Schizosaccharomyces pombe: one gene and its partners. The protein of the gene in region 1 interacts with the protein of each later gene in a biochemical or structural test. Each region holds a gene or a part of one and is shown in the gene's direction. Other genes may lie near its edges.

Region 1 (5,115 bases):
CAAGTGTTTCACATTGTGGTAATTGGATTGCGTCTTTATCTCGCTCTGGGCATGTCTTAATTCGAAATTCTGAAACCCTCGAGCTTCACCATGTGTTCCTTCTAAACGCTCAATTCATTCAAAAGGTTGTATACTTGTTATGGAAACCCAATTTAGGAGCAGAAAAATGCCATCAAATTTGTGTTGCCTCAGTTGATAAAGTGTTTGTATTAGATATTGTACAACACGATTATTATGCTAGCATACAGTGCGACCAGGATCCTTTGAGTAGTATCAGCTGGAGCCCGTCTGGAGAACTGCTTCTCTGGTCGTCCTTTGATGTACGTTGTATCTAATAAAATTTGCACAACTTTTTGCTTATATATCTGCGATGCTAATAGCAAATTTTTTAGTCGAAGATTACTGTGTGGTCTTTAAATACCCAGAAAGGTTATTTGCTTCCACATGTAAAAACCAATGTTTCGAAAGGTATTTCTTGTCTGATATATCAATTTACTGACTGTTTAGTTTACGCTTTACATCCATCCATGCAATTCTGTACTATATTATCTCGTTTTAACGGTTCGGATTGCCTTCAATTTTACCAAATCAGCAAAAAGGCATGGATACTTCTTAAAGAGTGTAAGCTTCCTACAATAGATTCGACGGGTATCCATTGGTCGCCAGATGGAAACTGGTTAGCTGTTTTGGAAAACGTATTAGATGCAGTTGTTTATATTTATCATCGCACCGGTCTTCTTTTTCACGAATATCGACCAAATAGGTTAATTGAAGTCGGCTTTTCCGATTTTGAGTGGAGTCCCTTTGGCAAATATCTAACTTTGTGCAGTTACCATGATTCAACCTTACATCTACTTGAAACAAAAACTTTTAGTATAGTTTTTCGACTTCACCATTGTTTGCAATATACCAATACTGACTTGGAAATGCATATATGGGAAGAGAAGGAAACAATCTATGAGCAACAAATGACTTATCAAAAAGTACATAAACTCAGAACCGATTTCCCAGAACCCTCCTTTTGTTCAGCATCAAAAATACGTTTCAACTGTGATGAGACGTATGCTGCTACAATTACTTCTAAATATCCTAATGTTCTTTGGCTATGGAATTTACAGAATAAAAAACTGCACACTGTTCTTATTCAAAAACATCATATAGTGTATTTTGAATGGCATCCAGGTCGTCCCGATTTGGTGGTCATTCAAACAAAAATTAGGAAAGAATCCAAAATTCCGTCTAATGCTACATTCCTATACTTCTGGGCTTTAAGTTGGAATACACCCAGGGTCGTTGGAGTTCCAAAAAAAGGTTTTAATATTCAGAAGGTTCAATGGCTTCAACCATCAGAATTCAGTTCTCGTCCAGTTATAGTAATTTGTGGTGAAGATGCATATACCGTTGCTTACATTGTGGAAGATGAAGATGAATCATTTACCGAAGTTACTCAAACTATAATTTCTCAAGAAGTTTTAGATAATGAGTTAGAAACAACGCAAACGATTTCCATACCATCTTAAGGGATTTACTTTCTATCTTAAAAGTCTTAATTATTGTAACCATTTTTAAATATTCTTTTTATTTTACTAACGACCTAATTAATTCGCTTAATGTCTATAATATTTTAATGCACGTTCATTGTTCCCGCATGTAAAACATGAGCACCCTGAGCACCCCGTCAGCTTAAGGCCTTTGCATACCTCTTATAGTTTGAATGTCTTTTTCAGTCTATTCAACTATCTTTTTCTAAATTTAGTACGTACTATTCCTGAGTTTTAATAACTACTCTTTCCTGATTCATAAATTGTAAACTTTGCGCATTTATTTGAGATTAGGGAGTCCTTTGAAAGATATTTAAAACTAATGCAACTTTTTCCCTTTATAAAAAGCATTGTTTATTCTCTATACTTACAGTATTGTTTTCTCATTTTGAAACATAGCGCATTTTACTTCGCCTCCGTATTTAATGCATATAGTTGATAGTTGGGTCCACTTCCACTATATCCTCATCAGATGCAACATTTCGCGCATCGATCGGGTTTATACTACAATTTGTATAATTAACTTTATTCACTAATCGTTGGGATCTTTTGTATAATATAAGTTAAAAAAATGAAACGCTCAAGCAGCGTTTCTGTCGAAGATGAGAAATCAGCAAGGAGAAAATTAGATGTCGTACCCAAACTTCATTTTGTAGGGTGCAGCCATTTAACGGATTATCATTTAATGGAAAAATTAGGAGAAGGAACATTTGGGTATGTGTCAAATATCTGATTTTGAATTTTATCACTAACTTGGTTCACCAGCGAAGTTTACAAATCGCAGCGGCGTAAGGACGGGAAGGTATATGCGCTGAAAAGAATACTCATGCATACTGAAAAGGAAGGTGTAAGTAGATGTTTGTTTAGATTCTTGTTCATTTTGACAGAATGACTTGGGACGCATCGACTTGATTGCGTTAATTGTTTTAATTAATTCATGAATAAATACTAAAGCATTACATTTTAGTTTCCCATTACAGCCATTCGCGAAATAAAAATTTTAAAATCGATTAAACACGAGAATATTATTCCATTATCTGATATGACTGTTGTTCGTGCAGACAAGAAGCATCGACGTCGTGGTTCTATATATATGGTGACTCCTTATATGGATCATGACCTTTCAGGTTTATTAGAAAATCCAAGTGTAAAATTCACGGAGCCGCAAATTAAATGCTATATGAAGCAATTGTTTGCTGGAACCAAATACTTACATGATCAGCTTATCCTTCATAGAGATCTTAAAGCTGCTAATTTATTGATTGATAATCACGGGATTTTAAAAATTGCCGATTTTGGTCTCGCACGTGTGATAACGGAGGAGTCATATGCAAACAAAAATCCTGGCTTGCCTCCACCTAATCGTAGAGAATACACTGGATGTGTGGTTACACGCTGGTATAGATCACCAGAACTTTTGCTTGGCGAGCGTCGTTACACTACCGCTATTGATATGTGGAGCGTGGGATGCATCATGGCCGAAATGTATAAAGGAAGGCCAATCCTTCAAGGAAGTAGTGATTTGGACCAATTGGATAAAATCTTTCGCCTTTGTGGATCACCAACTCAAGCTACTATGCCAAATTGGGAAAAGCTTCCTGGGTGCGAAGGCGTTCGCTCTTTTCCTTCACACCCTAGAACACTTGAAACTGCATTTTTTACTTTCGGAAAGGAAATGACTTCTCTTTGCGGTGCTATTTTGACCCTTAATCCGGATGAACGTTTATCTGCTTCAATGGCTTTAGAGCATGAATATTTTACAACACCACCATATCCAGCAAACCCTTCTGAACTACAGAGCTACAGTGCTTCTCATGAGTACGACAAAAGAAGGAAAAGAGAACAGAGAGATGCTAATTCACATGCGTTTGAACAAACCGCTAATGGTAAGAGACAGTTCCGGTTCATGACTCGTGGACCTAGCGATCCGTGGTATGGAATTCGTCGGCCAAATTATAACTCACAACCGCAATACCAACGTGGTTCGTACAATCGTGAAGGCGGTAACATGGATAGAAGTCGTAATGTTAATTATCAGCCTAAGCGTCAGCAAAATTTTAAACCTTTAACGTCTGATTTGCCACAGAAAAATTCCGAATTTTCTGAAACTAACGCTATGAATCAAACTTCTAATCATTCTCATGCAGACGGTCAACGCTACTACCGGCCTGAACAAGACCGATCTCAACGATTAAGAAACCCCTCGGATTACGGCCGTCAAGGAAGACAATCTTCCCAGTCTCAACAACCAGCATGGAATGTGTCCTCCAGATACCAGAATAATAGCAAAGTACAAACGACATCTCGAGCAAGCGAAAATGCGGATACCAACAAAACACAACACAATATTAAGTACATTGACTCATATGTTCCTGAATACTCAATTGCTAGACAATCTGCCAACCAAAAGACCAACGAGCAACATCCATCTTCTACTAGCTTGCACCAACAATCCACATCTGATCTGAAGTCACCCTCTTTTCATGAAAATTCCAACGTTGATGACACTCCTAAATGATCCATACGAATGTGCTCTTTTTACTTTTTGGCTTTCTCTTCATATCTTAAATTAACTTAATTTGCTGAGCATCCCATAATATTTTTAATGGCCTTTCCGCGTGATGGCGACTGTTCATTAAAGGCCAAAGTTGGTTTTCTAGCTCAAAATAAAATTTAAAACAAAAAGGAAAAAGCAAAGAAAATTAATTATATTTCTTTTTTCTTTAAAAGCTTGACCTTAGCAAATTGAGCACGGAGATTTTTATTTGTATTATTTATTTACTAAATTTATAATCTTAAAACATGACTTGTAAGTAATGTATTGGAAAGAAAATTACTTTATTTTCAACAAAACTGCTTTTTTCCTTGCTTGTGTTTACATATTTACGGTATTTTCTTCCCTTCCCATACCCATGTTTTGACCTCGGTTAAATACCTCTTGTTTGTATACGGCTTGACCAGCCCTCTCCCACCTACCTACTACAAAACCCGTCATCCAAAAACAGAGTCAAAATAACACAAATACCATTAATAATTACCTAATAAATATAATAATCAGTACTCTAAAAATTATTAAATTGTTCAAATGGTTGAAAATCAAGGGAATGTCGAAGCACATGGTAAACCCAAAAAGGTCATACTTAGCCTTTCATTAAAGGAATCTTCAAAAATTAATGATTCTCAAAATGTTTCCAATGTGTCTTCTAAAGAAAAATGCGAAACTGAAGCATTGCTTCGTGAAGAGAATAAAGAAAACCTGAGTAGTGACAGTATACGACAAATGATATTTGGAGATGAAATGGCGGGCTTTGTGGATACTGGTGAAAAACCACCGTGTTCTTATGCTACATTAATCGGTTTGGCGATCCTACAATCACATAACAAGCAACTGACTTTAAGCGGGATTTATACGTGGATTCGCAACACGTTTCGCTACTACCTCAACCATGATGGTGGTTGGCAAAATAGCATTAGGCACAACCTTTCATTAAACAAAGCCTTTATCAAAGTAGAAAAACCCAAGGGTAAAACTTTAAAAGGTCATTATTGGACAATTGATCCTGACCATATGCAG
Region 2 (6,177 bases), 1.3 Mb from region 1:
TTAGTATTTGCTGAAATATTCAAGTGACTAATGTCCTCTTTACCTTAGGTGGTCAACAATATTCTAAGCGACACCTACGGCAGCCTTTATAATCCCGAAAATATACTTATTACCAAAAATGGAGGAGGTGCTGGCAATAATTGGGCTAATGGTTATTCGCATGCTGAGAGGATTTTTGAAGATATAATGGACATGATAGATCGTGAAGCTGATGGAAGTGATTCTCTAGAGGGTTTCTCGCTTTTACATTCTATCGCTGGTGGAACGGGTTCTGGGCTGGGCTCTTTCTTGCTTGAGAGATTAAACGATCGTTATCCCAAGAAGATTATCCAAACTTATTCAGTATTCCCTAATAGTCAATCCGTATCAGATGTTGTGGTTCAGCCTTACAACAGTCTTCTTGCATTGAAGCGACTGACATTGAATGCTGATTCTGTTGTTGTGTTGGACAATGCAGCACTTGCTCATATTGCTGCTGATCGGTTACATACTCAGAACCCTACGTTTCATCAACAAAACCAATTGGTAATTGATTTATATTAGGTCTTTTCATCAACTAACTATTCTAGGTTTCAACTGTTATGTCTGCCAGTACAACAACTTTAAGATATCCTGGCTACATGAACAACGATCTTGTCAGTATAATAGCTTCATTAATTCCAAGTCCTCGCTGTCACTTTTTACTAACCTCATACACTCCTTTTACCAATCAGCAAGTGGAAGAAGCAAAGGCCATTCGGAAAACTACCGTGCTTGATGTGATGAGAAGGTTGTTGTTGCCTAAAAACCAGATGGTTTCCGTCAATCCTAGCAAAAAGAGTTGCTTTATTAGTATTTTGGATATCATTCAAGGAGAAGCAGATCCGGCGGACGTTCACAAATCCTTGCTTCGCATAAGAGAACGACGATACGCTTCATTCATTCCTTGGGGACCAGCAAGTATACAAGTTGCACTTTCTAAAAAGTCGCCCTATATAAAAACGAACCACCGTGTTAGTGGACTTATGCTTGCAAATCACACTAGTATTGCCTCTGTATGTTTCTGCAAATTTTTTTTTGAGACATTTAATACTAATCTTTGTAGTTATTCAAGAGAACACTAGATCAATATGATCGTTTGCGGAAACGAAATGCCTTTTTAGAGCAATATAAAAAGGAGGCTATTTTCGAAGATGATCTTAACGAATTCGATTCTTCTCGGTAAGTATCTTGTCTTATAATTTCATATTTTGAGTTAATTTACTAATGTATTTGACAGCGACGTCGTTGCCGACTTGATCAATGAATACGAAGCTTGTGAAGATCCCAATTATTTATCTCTTTAAAAAATCCTTCATAGTTTACGATGTCAAAGCAGACTTAAAATATAAAATTAATTCTCCTATCCTAGTCCTACTTCATAATCTATGAAATTCTGCTCAGCAAAGCATTTTTACGCCTTTCTAAAAGAATGGCTTCAACATCGTCTCTAGTTGGTATTTGCTCAATGACAAGAGGTTTCCAATCTTGTTCAACTTCATCACCAAGGTTCTCAAGATGTTTATGTTGTTGTTCTTCAATCTTTGCCTCAAAATCTTCTAATAGACTCTCTTGTGCTGGCGGTATGTAACCAAAGTACCAGGCGTCTAACCTTCTTTTCTGCATCTCCTGTTTGCGCTGTCTTTCCGGTATAAAACTCATATCAGCTTCAAAAAGTTCCTTAACGCCAGGTAACTCTCGAGCTCTTCCGTAATAACGATAATCGTCTATATCACTGATTTGTTCTCCTTCATCCTCAAATAGCTTTGCTTTATTATACAGATAATTAATCCCACCCAGATCACGAATTTGTACCTCCCATTCGTGTTTTTCACGCATCAATCGATTAATTGCATCGTTCAAATCTCGAATTTGATATTCAGGCAACGTTGCTATTCATGGTTAGAATACACAGAAATGATAAAAGCGGAATCAAGTTTAGCAAGTTAATTAAATTTGCTAATAAAACAATCTAGGACGTACCACTTTGAATTCGAGAGATCTTGCGAGAGATATCTTTTACTACACTAGCCCTATGTTTTTCACATATCGGCACAGACTTAATGCTTTTTATATCCTTGGGTCTCTTTTCCGTTGGTTTGCTGCCCACTACATACTATAACAAAGGGGTTAGTGACTGACGCTTAGGTTCTCATGCATATTCGTATGAACCTTACTTTCGCTGATGACATTGTAAAATTAAATGAAAATGATAGACTTGGTAATTAAAAAAATAGAGAAGGAAAGGCTCATTAAAATTTGACACAGAAAATAAATAATATAGACAAGTTTTATGGTATTTATCGAAATCAAGGCAAACCCAACACTTAATTAATTGACCTTCAACAGCCAATTCTTATTTAAGTACTTGAAAATTTGCTCAAGTTCCACCGATTGTGAAGACAAGCAAAAAACTTATAAGCAAGAAATTGAATGCATACAAGTAGTTATTTCGTGTAAGAAACACTTTATAAAACGGAAAAGAACAGCCAAAGTGAATAAGCTTATTGAAGCGCAACAAGCTTCTTAATTCATGGATAACGAAGTCCTCTTCTAAAAAAAGTACTAGTCTAAATAGTAACTAAGTATTTTATGTTCACTACAATTAAAGGATGATATTATTGCATAAATGGTCCCTTTCAAAATGATTACCACTTTTAATCCATCGTATTCAATATACTGTCAAGAATTAGGCAATTGTTGATGAAGTAGGTAACATCAATCATTTGGAAAAGTTCATTTCATCTCTTTGGTATCGGCTTTAACCTAAAAAAGAGTTGTTTATAAGAGATTAGCAGAACGATTTATAAGTATACAGTTGATTTTTTGAATATCTTACAAAGACTTAAAATTAAACAATCGTTGAGACCGTCAAAATCGTTAAAACTGACTTACGAATTATTCTAATAATCACTATATTCAATCAACGTAAATGGACAAGCATCGTTGTGGTAGATTTCCCCCTGAAAGATAGTAACCACCCTCCATTCTTCGCATTCTTTAGTTGAGGTATGTTAATTATATACTAAATGATTTACTGTTCTTTGATTTTGCTTATTCTTGCTCAATTATAGTTTGTTTTTAATAATTTGGCGACGGTAATCTCATATATAAAATCGATGAATTTCACATGAGTGAAGTAATAAAATCTGTACCCCCGGGCTCTCAAAACACTTCTCAGTGGATAATAAGTAAAGATCAGTTGGTATTTACTCCATCTGCATTAGATGGGATACCTTTAGATCAAGAAGAAATTCAAAGATCTAAAGGATGCAATTTCATTATAAATGTCGGGCTGAGATTAAAACTGTACGTTAATTACGATGTATCAGTTCAGTAAATTAATGAAACTAACAATAATAACAGACCTCAAACTGCGCTTGCTACTGCTAACATCTATTTCCATCGATTTTATCTTCGATTCTCACTCAAAAATTATCATTATTATGAAGTTGCTGCTACTTGCATTTTCTTGGCAACCAAGGTTGAGGATTCCGTTCGTAAACTTCGCGATATTGTAATTAACTGTGCAAAGGTTGCTCAAAAAAACAGCAATGTTTTGGTTGACGAGCAAACCAAAGAATACTGGCGGTGGAGAGATGTTATCTTGTACACAGAGGAAGTACTGTTAGAAGCTTTATGCTTTGACTTTACGGTTGAACATCCATATCCTTACGTCCTAAGTTTTATCAAAAAATTCGTGGCTGATGATAAAAATGTCACTAAGGTTGCTTGGACATACATTAACGATAGCACTAGAAGTATCGCATGTCTACTTTACTCTCCGAAAACTATAGCTGCTGCAGCATTCCAATTTGCATTAGAAAAGAACGAAATAAATCTCTCTACTACGACTGATGGGCTTCCGGTATGGATGGAAGAGTCTCAAGTTTCTTATGAAGACGTTAAAGGTATATTATATATTTTTTTATAGCCTTAGCACTAACAATGCAGGAGTGTTGACACTAATCGACTCGTTATACAAAAAGATAAACCCTTCCAAACAAGCCCTTCCAATCGACCAAAAAAACGGATCTCATGCTTCCAGCGTAGCTCCTGGGACACCGTCGTCATTGGCTTCCGTCTCGACACAAGCTACCCCTCAACATCAAAATTCATCAGGAAGAACTGACTCATTTCATTCCCTAAACACAGAAACCCCATCAAAAAGTACGGTGGACGACCAAATACTGTCGACAGCCGCCCAGCCAAAAAAATCATCTGATACAGATAAAGAGATGGAGACGGAAGCTTCATAAAAAAGAAAAATAATTCCAGATTGGAAATTTTATAAGTTATAAAAATTATTAATGCTATCAGCATCTTTATATTTATTTTTGGATTCGAATAAATCGATAACACGGTTTTAGAATATTGCTCGTAATAAAAGGCTTAAATTAAGTTCATGAGTATTTTTAAAAAGTAAATGCGTGAAAGAAATATTGCCGGAACTTAACAGTTTGACAACTTCATTGTTTGCTTATGAGTCAGAAACTCTACGAGGATTGTCGAGAATTCGAATGCTCCAGGGTTTTCTCTTTCTCCAAGCAATGAAACCATAGACAAAAATGTCCTTAAAAACTAATGCAGCAAAGGCACCAATAATGCTCTTCTCTAACTTTGTGAAATTCCCTGGAATAAACCTTCCCAAAAATTTCCCTGCTAATGGGAATAGTAGAATCGGTCGAACAATACGGAGAATTTTCGTAGTAAAAGCATCAAGGAAAACGTGTGCCACAGACAAAAGAATCCAAAATTCAGATTCTGTATCTTCTCTTTCGTTTACATCCTCGACTTGGTTACGATGCTCTACTTGTGCTTCAAACTGGCGAAACCAATCAGTTTCAGAATCTTCAAATTCCCCGTCCGCTCCAATTACAATACCGTCAAATATACGGGTCATTAGTTCCTTATATAAAGATCTTACCCAAGGCAGAGTGCACAGTAGAAGTGAGGTATTCGAAATCTTTTCCGCGCAACTATAAATTGAAAAATGCGTGTAGAGACTAAATGCTATATCATAAGGCGGAGCTTCGTAGAACCGAACCAACATGCATGGTAATAAAGGCAATACGACAGAGGAGAAAACTGGCTTTTTTAACATTTCTATCAGGCTGCTTTCATCTGCCACCTGTTTACATATCCATATTCCAGTCTGTTTGAATATTGAATAAATAAACTTGGTAATACCTAAACAAGAACCTACACCAAACGTTACTTGAGCTAGACCAGCTTCAAGGGAATGACCGATTCCAAGAACGTTTACAGCCCAAGACTTTTCCTTTGGCGGTTTAGCAATTCTATATGCGGTAAGACATTGAGGACAACGAGTACTGCCAGATCTGGTAATGTAAGAAATCAAACAACTTTCATGAGCAATGAGTGAACACCGACACGGACGTCTCCAAGAATCATTTGAAAGGGAGCATAGTTTTTTGTCGTATTCCTCATAGCATATCCAGCAGCGAGCACTGCTTTTCTCATACTTCGCGGTGTCCGTCATTTAGCAGAACCTCGGGGTTTTCCAATACAAAAAAGAAAATTTAGAATAAATAAAATAAACGCTTAACGTCAATGTTTCAAAACAAAATAGGTTTTAAAATATAGGCATTTTCCTGAACAAATTCTAACATAAAGATAGTTCAGTACTTTCTCATAAGTTTAGGAGCCTTAGTAATTAAAAAGATTGGGTATTGAAAGTAAAGTTGAAAGTGTGGAATGAACAATATAATTTAAATGATATGAGTAAAAAAGCTGTTTACAATTACTTGTGTAGCTTTTTTAATGCAAACGATTTTAGAATAAACTTCAAATCCCTAAAACTATCGTAAAGTAGTTCGTTTTGAGCGATTGGACGGATTCGTGGTGAAAGGTGGTTGAGTGGTTTCACGAGTGCTTGTCCTGCTACGAGTTGAGGGGTGCTGAGGAACGGAGGGCACATTACTGACTCGTGAAGGTGGACGAAGTCTAGAGGAAGTTTTAGAAATTATACTTTTTCTATTTGAAGAATTGAGACCATTATTAGGAATCGAACTTGCTACGGATGGCAAGTTGGATGTTGGTATAGTAGGAGCAGAGGAGGTGGCCGATTTTGGAATTGCGGATTGGCGATGACTTGCAAAAGATGAAGAAGGAGTCCTAAGTGAGTTTGGGTTAGAA
Region 3 (6,631 bases), on another chromosome or scaffold:
AAGGTACCAGACTCTGTATGGCTAAGCAGCAAGCGTATGGGGGATATGCTTTGGCGATTAGAAAAACTGCAGAAAAAGACAGATAATAAAAAACCTTTCTTCAAAAAAAAGAAGAAAAAGAGAAAACATTTGAAAAAGTTTTTCGACTTTAATACAACAGCAAAGGTGAACGAGGGCGCGATGACTGACTAGAGAAATCAACATCGGGTCCTCTTTTTTTTAACGGGAAATATCTTTAAGCTTATCAACATTTATTAAAAAATGGCATTTCGGTATTACTTCATTAAGGTCTTTTCATTTGAAACACTCCGTTGTGAACCTGTTTTCGTAAAGCTTTCGCTATTTTTGCGAACCACGTTTTCAATCAGTTGTTAGTTTGCTTTTGTTAATCGTTAATGATAGTACTTTCTGATCTATTTAAGCTGTCGATTGTTTTACTCAATTTGCAGATATTTCACAACCGAAGCGACCTTTTTAAGCGAAAAGAAGGACTTTATTTTTACATCATAACTTTTCATTTTGCAAAACTTTTATTATTCATTTTTACATTTTTTTATGCATTACCCTTTTTATTACTTGATTAATTACTGAAGCATAGGTTAGATTTACGCTTAACGAATTCCTTGGATACCATTTGCTTGTTTGTTATAAAATTTTTCAAGTATTATTTATATCCTTTAATTAGCATTTTTTAACTATAATAAGCCAACACAAAGGTTTAGCAATTAAAACTAGCCAAAATACTGTTCGATGTAGATTTTTTTTTTAAAAAGACATGACTTCTTTATTAAACAATCTTGCTAGTATGAACTTGTCCCAATCCATAATGTGTTGTGACTCACTTTCGATCCTTAAGTTTAGAGGTAAATAAACCAAGTTCTCCAAGGCCATGATGCCGAACTTCTGTTTTTAATGTTAAAATCATAAGATATTATGGAGTTAGCTAAAATTGGAGACAGGCTTAACAATTATTACAATAATATTTATACACTTTCCGAAAAACTTGGGTATTCGTTTACAAAGATCAGTTTTAACAATATCATCTTGGACGCTTTGTCAGGACACCAAAGAAAATTGGAGATCAAAATTATAAATATTGAGTCAAAATGCAATGAATTATCTTCTGAGATATCTCTTTTAAGAAAAAGACTGGGCATCATCGAAGAAATCGAAATACCGCGCACTCTAATTGACCAATATGAATGCCTGGTAACTTACCATAATGGTATTCGAGCAATCTATAACACGAAGAAAAATGAAGCAAAAAATATGTACAAAGAAATTGAAAGGTTATCTGTAATCCTTGGTGAATCAGTTGATGAGGTGAATTTTGTGAACGGTGATTTTGAGGACATATCGGATATAAAGCTTGAGCAGTTGTCAGCAAAATTAAATGAACTTCATCAGATATACAGACTTAGGAAAGAAAAAAACATTGAAATTAAAGAGGAATTAAAAAAACTGCAGGATTCTTTGTCTATAAAACTTAGCATGCCCGCTGATGATTTGTCCAAAAACGGAATAAAGCATTTGATAATTTACAAGGAGAAGCTCAGATTTTCTTTAGAAAGCAGGAAGTCCCGGGTCGATGAAATTGTCAACGAAATGAAAAATATGTGTGGTAAAAACCCGACTTCTGAGTTACCGACCAACTATAGTGATAAAACCTTGACTTTGGTAAGAATTTGATATTTTTATTAAAATAATTATTTTCAAACTAACAATATAGTGGGAAAATGAACTTTCGTCCATGCGAAAAGTGTACTTTGTTAAGTATAAAACTGAATACGAGTTTTTACAAAAAAGGTACCTTTCACTGGCTCGCATAATGTTCGTTTCTAAAAAAGAAATGTTGTTTACATCTCAATTTAAAGAAATACCTAACGTTAATCGAGAATTAATTCAAAGTATGAAACAAGAAATTGGGAACCTAGAAGTTGATCTCCATCTTCAAGGGGAATTGAACAACATGATTAGGCGGTATCTTCTCTTAGAGTCTAGGGTTTATAAAGAATCTCAAAGAATGAAGGTATTGTCTGGATCAGCTTCGCAGCCTTTCACTTTAAAGCGCTTGCAAAAGGATTTTCAATTACTGAAAGCTAAATTAATATGCGCATTAAGGGAGTGGGAGGAGGATAACGAAAAGAAAATTTATGTCTTTGGAAAACCATTGTCTTCAAGATTATTAATGATACATTCTCCACCAATTTTGCAGAATCAAGAGAATATTTCCTCTAATGACAATAGCAAATCTTCACCAGAGTCATCGCCACCTGCGCGGAAAACCACAGGTAAGATCGAAAATAAAAAGTTAAGAAACATTGATGTCCAAAGCAAAAAAAGCATTCGTTTTCCTCTTAGGCTAGCCTCTCATGAAGAGCCGTTAATTGATAGAATGGTTAACCAAAGTCCTGATACTCGAAGTGTTTCGAAAAGTAAGAGATTAGTAAGGGAAACATCTAGTGGTTGCTTATTCAAGAATCATTCTAAAAGTAATACACTTTCCCCTAGGAGGAAAGGCTCTCGGCATGGTCCCAGAGAGCCGTGTTTGTCTCCCGATGCTTCATCTTCGTCGATTCCGGTCACTGATATAAAGGAGATACTTCCTTCGCAGCACGACACACCTCATAACTCTGTCAAGCTTACTGGAAGTTCGACGACTCCTGCTTCTGTGTCGCTTCGTCAAATGATAGAGCCATTGTTATCACGTACTCCTCCCAAAGGTGAATTTACTAATTCACTTGATGATACACCGACTCAGTCTAATGTGGAAAAGGTTGACAGGTTTTTGGAAAACCATGATTGGGAAACGTGTAGTGAATCTTCCTCTGCAAGTGAAGATCAAAGTTTATGTAAACAACTATCTTCTTTTTCACTTTCCAGTAGTGATATCTCAAAGAAGTTAAAAAACAATTTAAATGGGCTACACTTTTCGTCTGATGAAGGTTCTAAACTACCTACTTTTCTATAATTTGTCTCTCGTTACTCTACAATATTTTTTAATATACTTACTATTAATGTATGAATATAATGAAATAATTCGTAATTTTTTTAACTGAGCATTAAAATATTGTAGTATTAACATATTCAAAAGCAATTTTCTCCAATCTTATTTCATACTGTTTAATATTTTTTTATCTTATTCAAAAATAAACAAGATTTTTAATTTTAAGTGCTTTGACAGTATCTTTTCTTTAGTCTATGTTGTAGTGTACTGTACGCTATTTGCCAGTTGCCTTTTGCCTTTCACCAATTTTTGCACCGATAAAACCACATGGGTAAATCACAAAAAAAGACGGCCAAAGGCCGTTTGGATAAATGGTATAAGCTTGCCAAAGAACAAGGTATTTATTAATAGCTACAATGAACACTTTTTAACGTTTAGGGTATCGTTCTCGTGCTGCTTTTAAATTAGTGCAATTGAATCAGAAATATAGTTTCCTTGAAAAAGCTAAAGTCATCATTGATCTTTGTGCTGCGTAAGTTGTATAGTTATTATTCAAAATCCTTTTACACTGACCGTCAAAACAGTCCAGGTGGTTGGTTACAGGTTGCTTCTAAAACATGCAAACCTGGCTCATTAATCGTTGGTGTTGATCTTGCTCCTATTAAACCCATTCCTAATTGCCATACGTTTGTTGAGGATATTACAAGTGATAAATGCAGATCGCAATTGCGTGGATATTTGAAAACTTGGAAAGCTGATGTGTAAGTAATTGATATGCTGCAGGAAGCGGTTAAACGGGTGCAACTATTCTTGTTTCACTTGCAATCTTAGAAATTTGATTGAACTGATTAGAATATTTGTTGCCCATATTGGTTTTTGTCGAATTTTTATTAATGCATTGAGCAGTGTTCTTCATGATGGTGCACCAAATGTTGGTTCTGCATGGTTGCAGGACGCCTATGGACAAGCTCAGTTGGTGCTAATGTCAATGAAATTAGCATGTGAATTTTTGGTTGCTGGTGGTACATTTGTTACAAAAGTTTTTCGTTCAAGGGATTATAATAATCTTTTATGGGTATTCAAACAACTTTTTAATAAAGTTGAGGCTACTAAACCTCCATCTTCTCGTAACGTCTCTGCAGAAATTTTTGTCGTATGTCGTGGGTACAAAGCACCAAAAAAGTTAGATCCTCGCTTTACAGATCCTCGTACCGTTTTCGAAGAAGTCCAAGAGCCAGTTACAAACGTTGATGCAAAAGTGTTCCATCCTGAAAAAAGAAAACGTAGTCGTGAGGGTTACGCTGACGATGATTACACATTACACAAAACTGTCTTGGCATCGGAATTTGTTACCGCAAATGATCCCATTCAAATCCTTGGTACATCCGCTGAAATTGTATTCCCAAAAGATGATGAGGAATGTCAACGCTTATACAATTTAGACGTCACTACTGAAGAAATTCTTTTGTGTTGCTCAGATTTACAAGTATTAGGTAAAAAAGAATTCCGCGATATTTTGAGATGGCGACTGAAAATAAGAGATGAGATGGGTATAGGTAAAAAGGTAGAGGATGAGCAAAAAACAGTGGTTGAGGAGATTCCTGAAATGGATGAAGAAGAGAGACTGGATCAAGAATTACAAGATTTGAGTGAAGCCGAACGTGTTAAACTCAAACGTGAGCGTCGGAAAGCGAATCAGCGTAAACAGCGTGAAATTGTTCGTATGCAAATGGGAATGTTGGCCCCAATGGATATTGGCTTGGAACATGAAGCCATGGGCGAAGACAGTTTGTTTGGTCTAGCAACCGCTGAAAAGCATGGTTTAAAAGAATTGGAAAATGGAACGCTTCCCGTAACTGAATCTGTTGACGAAGAAGTTTCTACGGACAATGAAGTCGAATACGATAGTGACGATGAGCGCGATCGCTTAGAGGCTGACTTGGATTCAATGTATTCTGATTATACTAAACGCAAGGCTGAATCTGATGTGAAATATCGCGTTAAAAAAGCGCGTGGCGATCTTGATGATGAAGAATGGAACGGTATAGATAATGGCACCGAAAGCGATGATTCTCAGATTGCTGAGACGAACTTTGCTACTCCTGATAAAGACAGACTGACAACGTCTTTGTTAGACAAAGGTTCGACTAAGGATGGGCTTAGTAGAAAAGCACGTATGTTTTTTGACCAGGACATTTTTGATGGTATTGAAGATGCCGATGCTGATGTGGAAATCATGTCTATGAACCGCGCTGCTATAAAGAAACGTGAAGCTGAACTTGCTTCTCAAAATAATGACGATGGAAGCAAGGGAGACCAAAGTGAGGACAGCAATGATCATATTGAAGTCGTTCCAGTTGCTTCAGCTCATGATGAAGATGATGATTGGAATTCTGATTCTGATAATGATGAAAACAACGTTGAAATTGTTACTGCCGAGGCAATGACACTAGCTCAGGATATTGCTTCTAGGAGAAAGTCTAAGGCTGATTTGATTGATGAAGGTTATAATCGATGGTCGTTTCAATCTAAAGAAGGTCTTCCAGATTGGTTTTTGGATGAAGAAACAACCGTCAATAAACCCAACAAGCCAATCACCAAAGAAGCCGTTTTGGCTTTGCGGGAAAAAATGAAGGCTCTTAATGCTCGTCCTATCAAAAAAGTTCTTGAGGCACAAGGTCGTAAAAAGATGCGTACTATTAAGCGTCTGCAACGTGTCGCTAAAAAAGCTGAAGGAATTTCAGAAAGCGGTGATATGACTGAAAGTGAAAAAGCTAAAGAAATATCGCGACTCGTAAGCCGTGCTACTAAATCGAAGCCTAAAGCAAAGCCTACGTTAGTTGTTGCAAAGGGTCCTAATAAAGGCCTTAAATCTCGTCCTAAGGGTGTTAAAGGAAAGTATAAAATGGTTGACAGTCGAATGAAAAAGGATTTGCGCGCACAAAAAAGACTAGCTAAAAAGGGTCGTCGTTAAAATACTTGACTGTTTAATTTCATTAACAGTTTTTCGTGGAATTTAGGCTTAAAATAATTATATCTAGGTTAGAGTTTGGGTTTTAGTGGATTAATAGTATTCTTATTTAGTATTAGATTTGGGAGTAACAGCATGGATATGTTTTGCAAGAGTTAAACTGCTACATATATAAACATTATTAATTAACTATTTATATGCAGTTCTTTTCGAATATTTCGATTGAGTAAATGGAAGAAATTTGAATTACAGGTCTAAACCAGCGGAGGAGCAGCCTCAATTCGTATTCGTCTACGGACGTCCTCAATGTCGTTCGTCAGTTCCTTTTCCCAATAGACATTGATCAATGTTTTTGCATTCAAACCATTACGAATCGACCATGGAATGTATACCCGACGAAACCTTGAAGCCTGTTCACAATTTAAGCGTAGAGGACCAAATAAAGCAGAGAGAGCTCCAACTGGTAAACCCATGTTAACAAATTCCAGCCTAAATTGTTAGTATACAAACCATGAAGTTAGAAATAAAGTAAAGTATATCTATACCATTTAATAGCTAATTCTCCTTCAATGTTTGTAGGCATGTTACATATAGCATGGTAAAAATCGTGAGATTCACGATATCTTTGCATAACATATGCCTCCTCTGGGTCATCTACAAAACGGGTAGGGCTTCGAGTATCGGGTCCAACATGCTCTTTGTCTATCCAGTCA

Evidence for each region.
Region 2: of the proteins of cdk9 (region 1) and pch1, one has a biochemical effect on the other in vitro, tested with the Schizosaccharomyces pombe proteins (one study listed by BioGRID).
Region 3: of the proteins of cdk9 (region 1) and spb1, one has a biochemical effect on the other in vitro, tested with the Schizosaccharomyces pombe proteins (one study listed by BioGRID).

What each region holds. Positions count from the first base shown.
Region 1 is NC_003423.3:1,468,568-1,473,682, forward strand, and holds cdk9 (P-TEFb-associated cyclin-dependent protein kinase Cdk9), read left to right. Parts: upstream 1-2,000; 5' UTR 2,001-2,112; coding exon 2,113-2,255; exon of another isoform or gene 2,256-2,306; coding exon 2,307-2,388; exon of another isoform or gene 2,389-2,508; coding exon 2,509-4,059; 3' UTR 4,060-4,615; downstream 4,616-5,115. Other genes in the region: wdr8 (WD repeat-containing protein), read left to right, coding at 1-320, 393-468, 508-1,520; DNA-binding forkhead transcription factor, meiotic Mei4, read left to right, coding at 4,627-5,115. UniProt on the Schizosaccharomyces pombe protein: Component of the positive transcription elongation factor b (P-TEFb) which consists of cdk9 and pch1, and which phosphorylates the C-terminal domain (CTD) of RNA polymerase II and spt5.
Region 2 is NC_003423.3:2,791,818-2,797,994, forward strand, and holds pch1 (P-TEFB-associated cyclin T Pch1), read left to right. Parts: upstream 1-3,003; 5' UTR 3,004-3,027; intron 3,028-3,092; 5' UTR 3,093-3,148; coding exon 3,149-3,327; intron 3,328-3,384; coding exon 3,385-3,929; exon of another isoform or gene 3,930-3,972; coding exon 3,973-4,277; 3' UTR 4,278-4,498; coding exon of another isoform or gene 4,499-5,521; 3' UTR 5,522-5,640; downstream 5,641-6,177. Other genes in the region: gamma-tubulin Gtb1, read left to right, coding at 49-525, 570-1,034, 1,085-1,200, 1,259-1,325; protein Cwf12, read right to left, coding at 1,405-1,910, 2,002-2,134, 2,196-2,210; SPOM_SPBC32F12.07C (MARCH family ubiquitin-protein ligase E3), read right to left, coding at 4,499-5,521.
Region 3 is NC_003424.3:919,040-925,670, forward strand, and holds spb1 (rRNA methyltransferase Spb1), read left to right. Parts: upstream 1-3,241; 5' UTR 3,242-3,274; coding exon 3,275-3,344; exon of another isoform or gene 3,345-3,385; coding exon 3,386-3,479; exon of another isoform or gene 3,480-3,531; coding exon 3,532-3,708; exon of another isoform or gene 3,709-3,853; coding exon 3,854-5,921; 3' UTR 5,922-6,094; downstream 6,095-6,631. Other genes in the region: irs4 (ENTH/VHS domain protein), read left to right, coding at 1-192; protein mcp1, read left to right, coding at 934-1,677, 1,730-2,971; ubiquinone biosynthesis protein Coq4, read right to left, coding at 6,173-6,407, 6,464-6,631. UniProt on the Schizosaccharomyces pombe protein: Required for proper assembly of pre-ribosomal particles during the biogenesis of the 60S ribosomal subunit.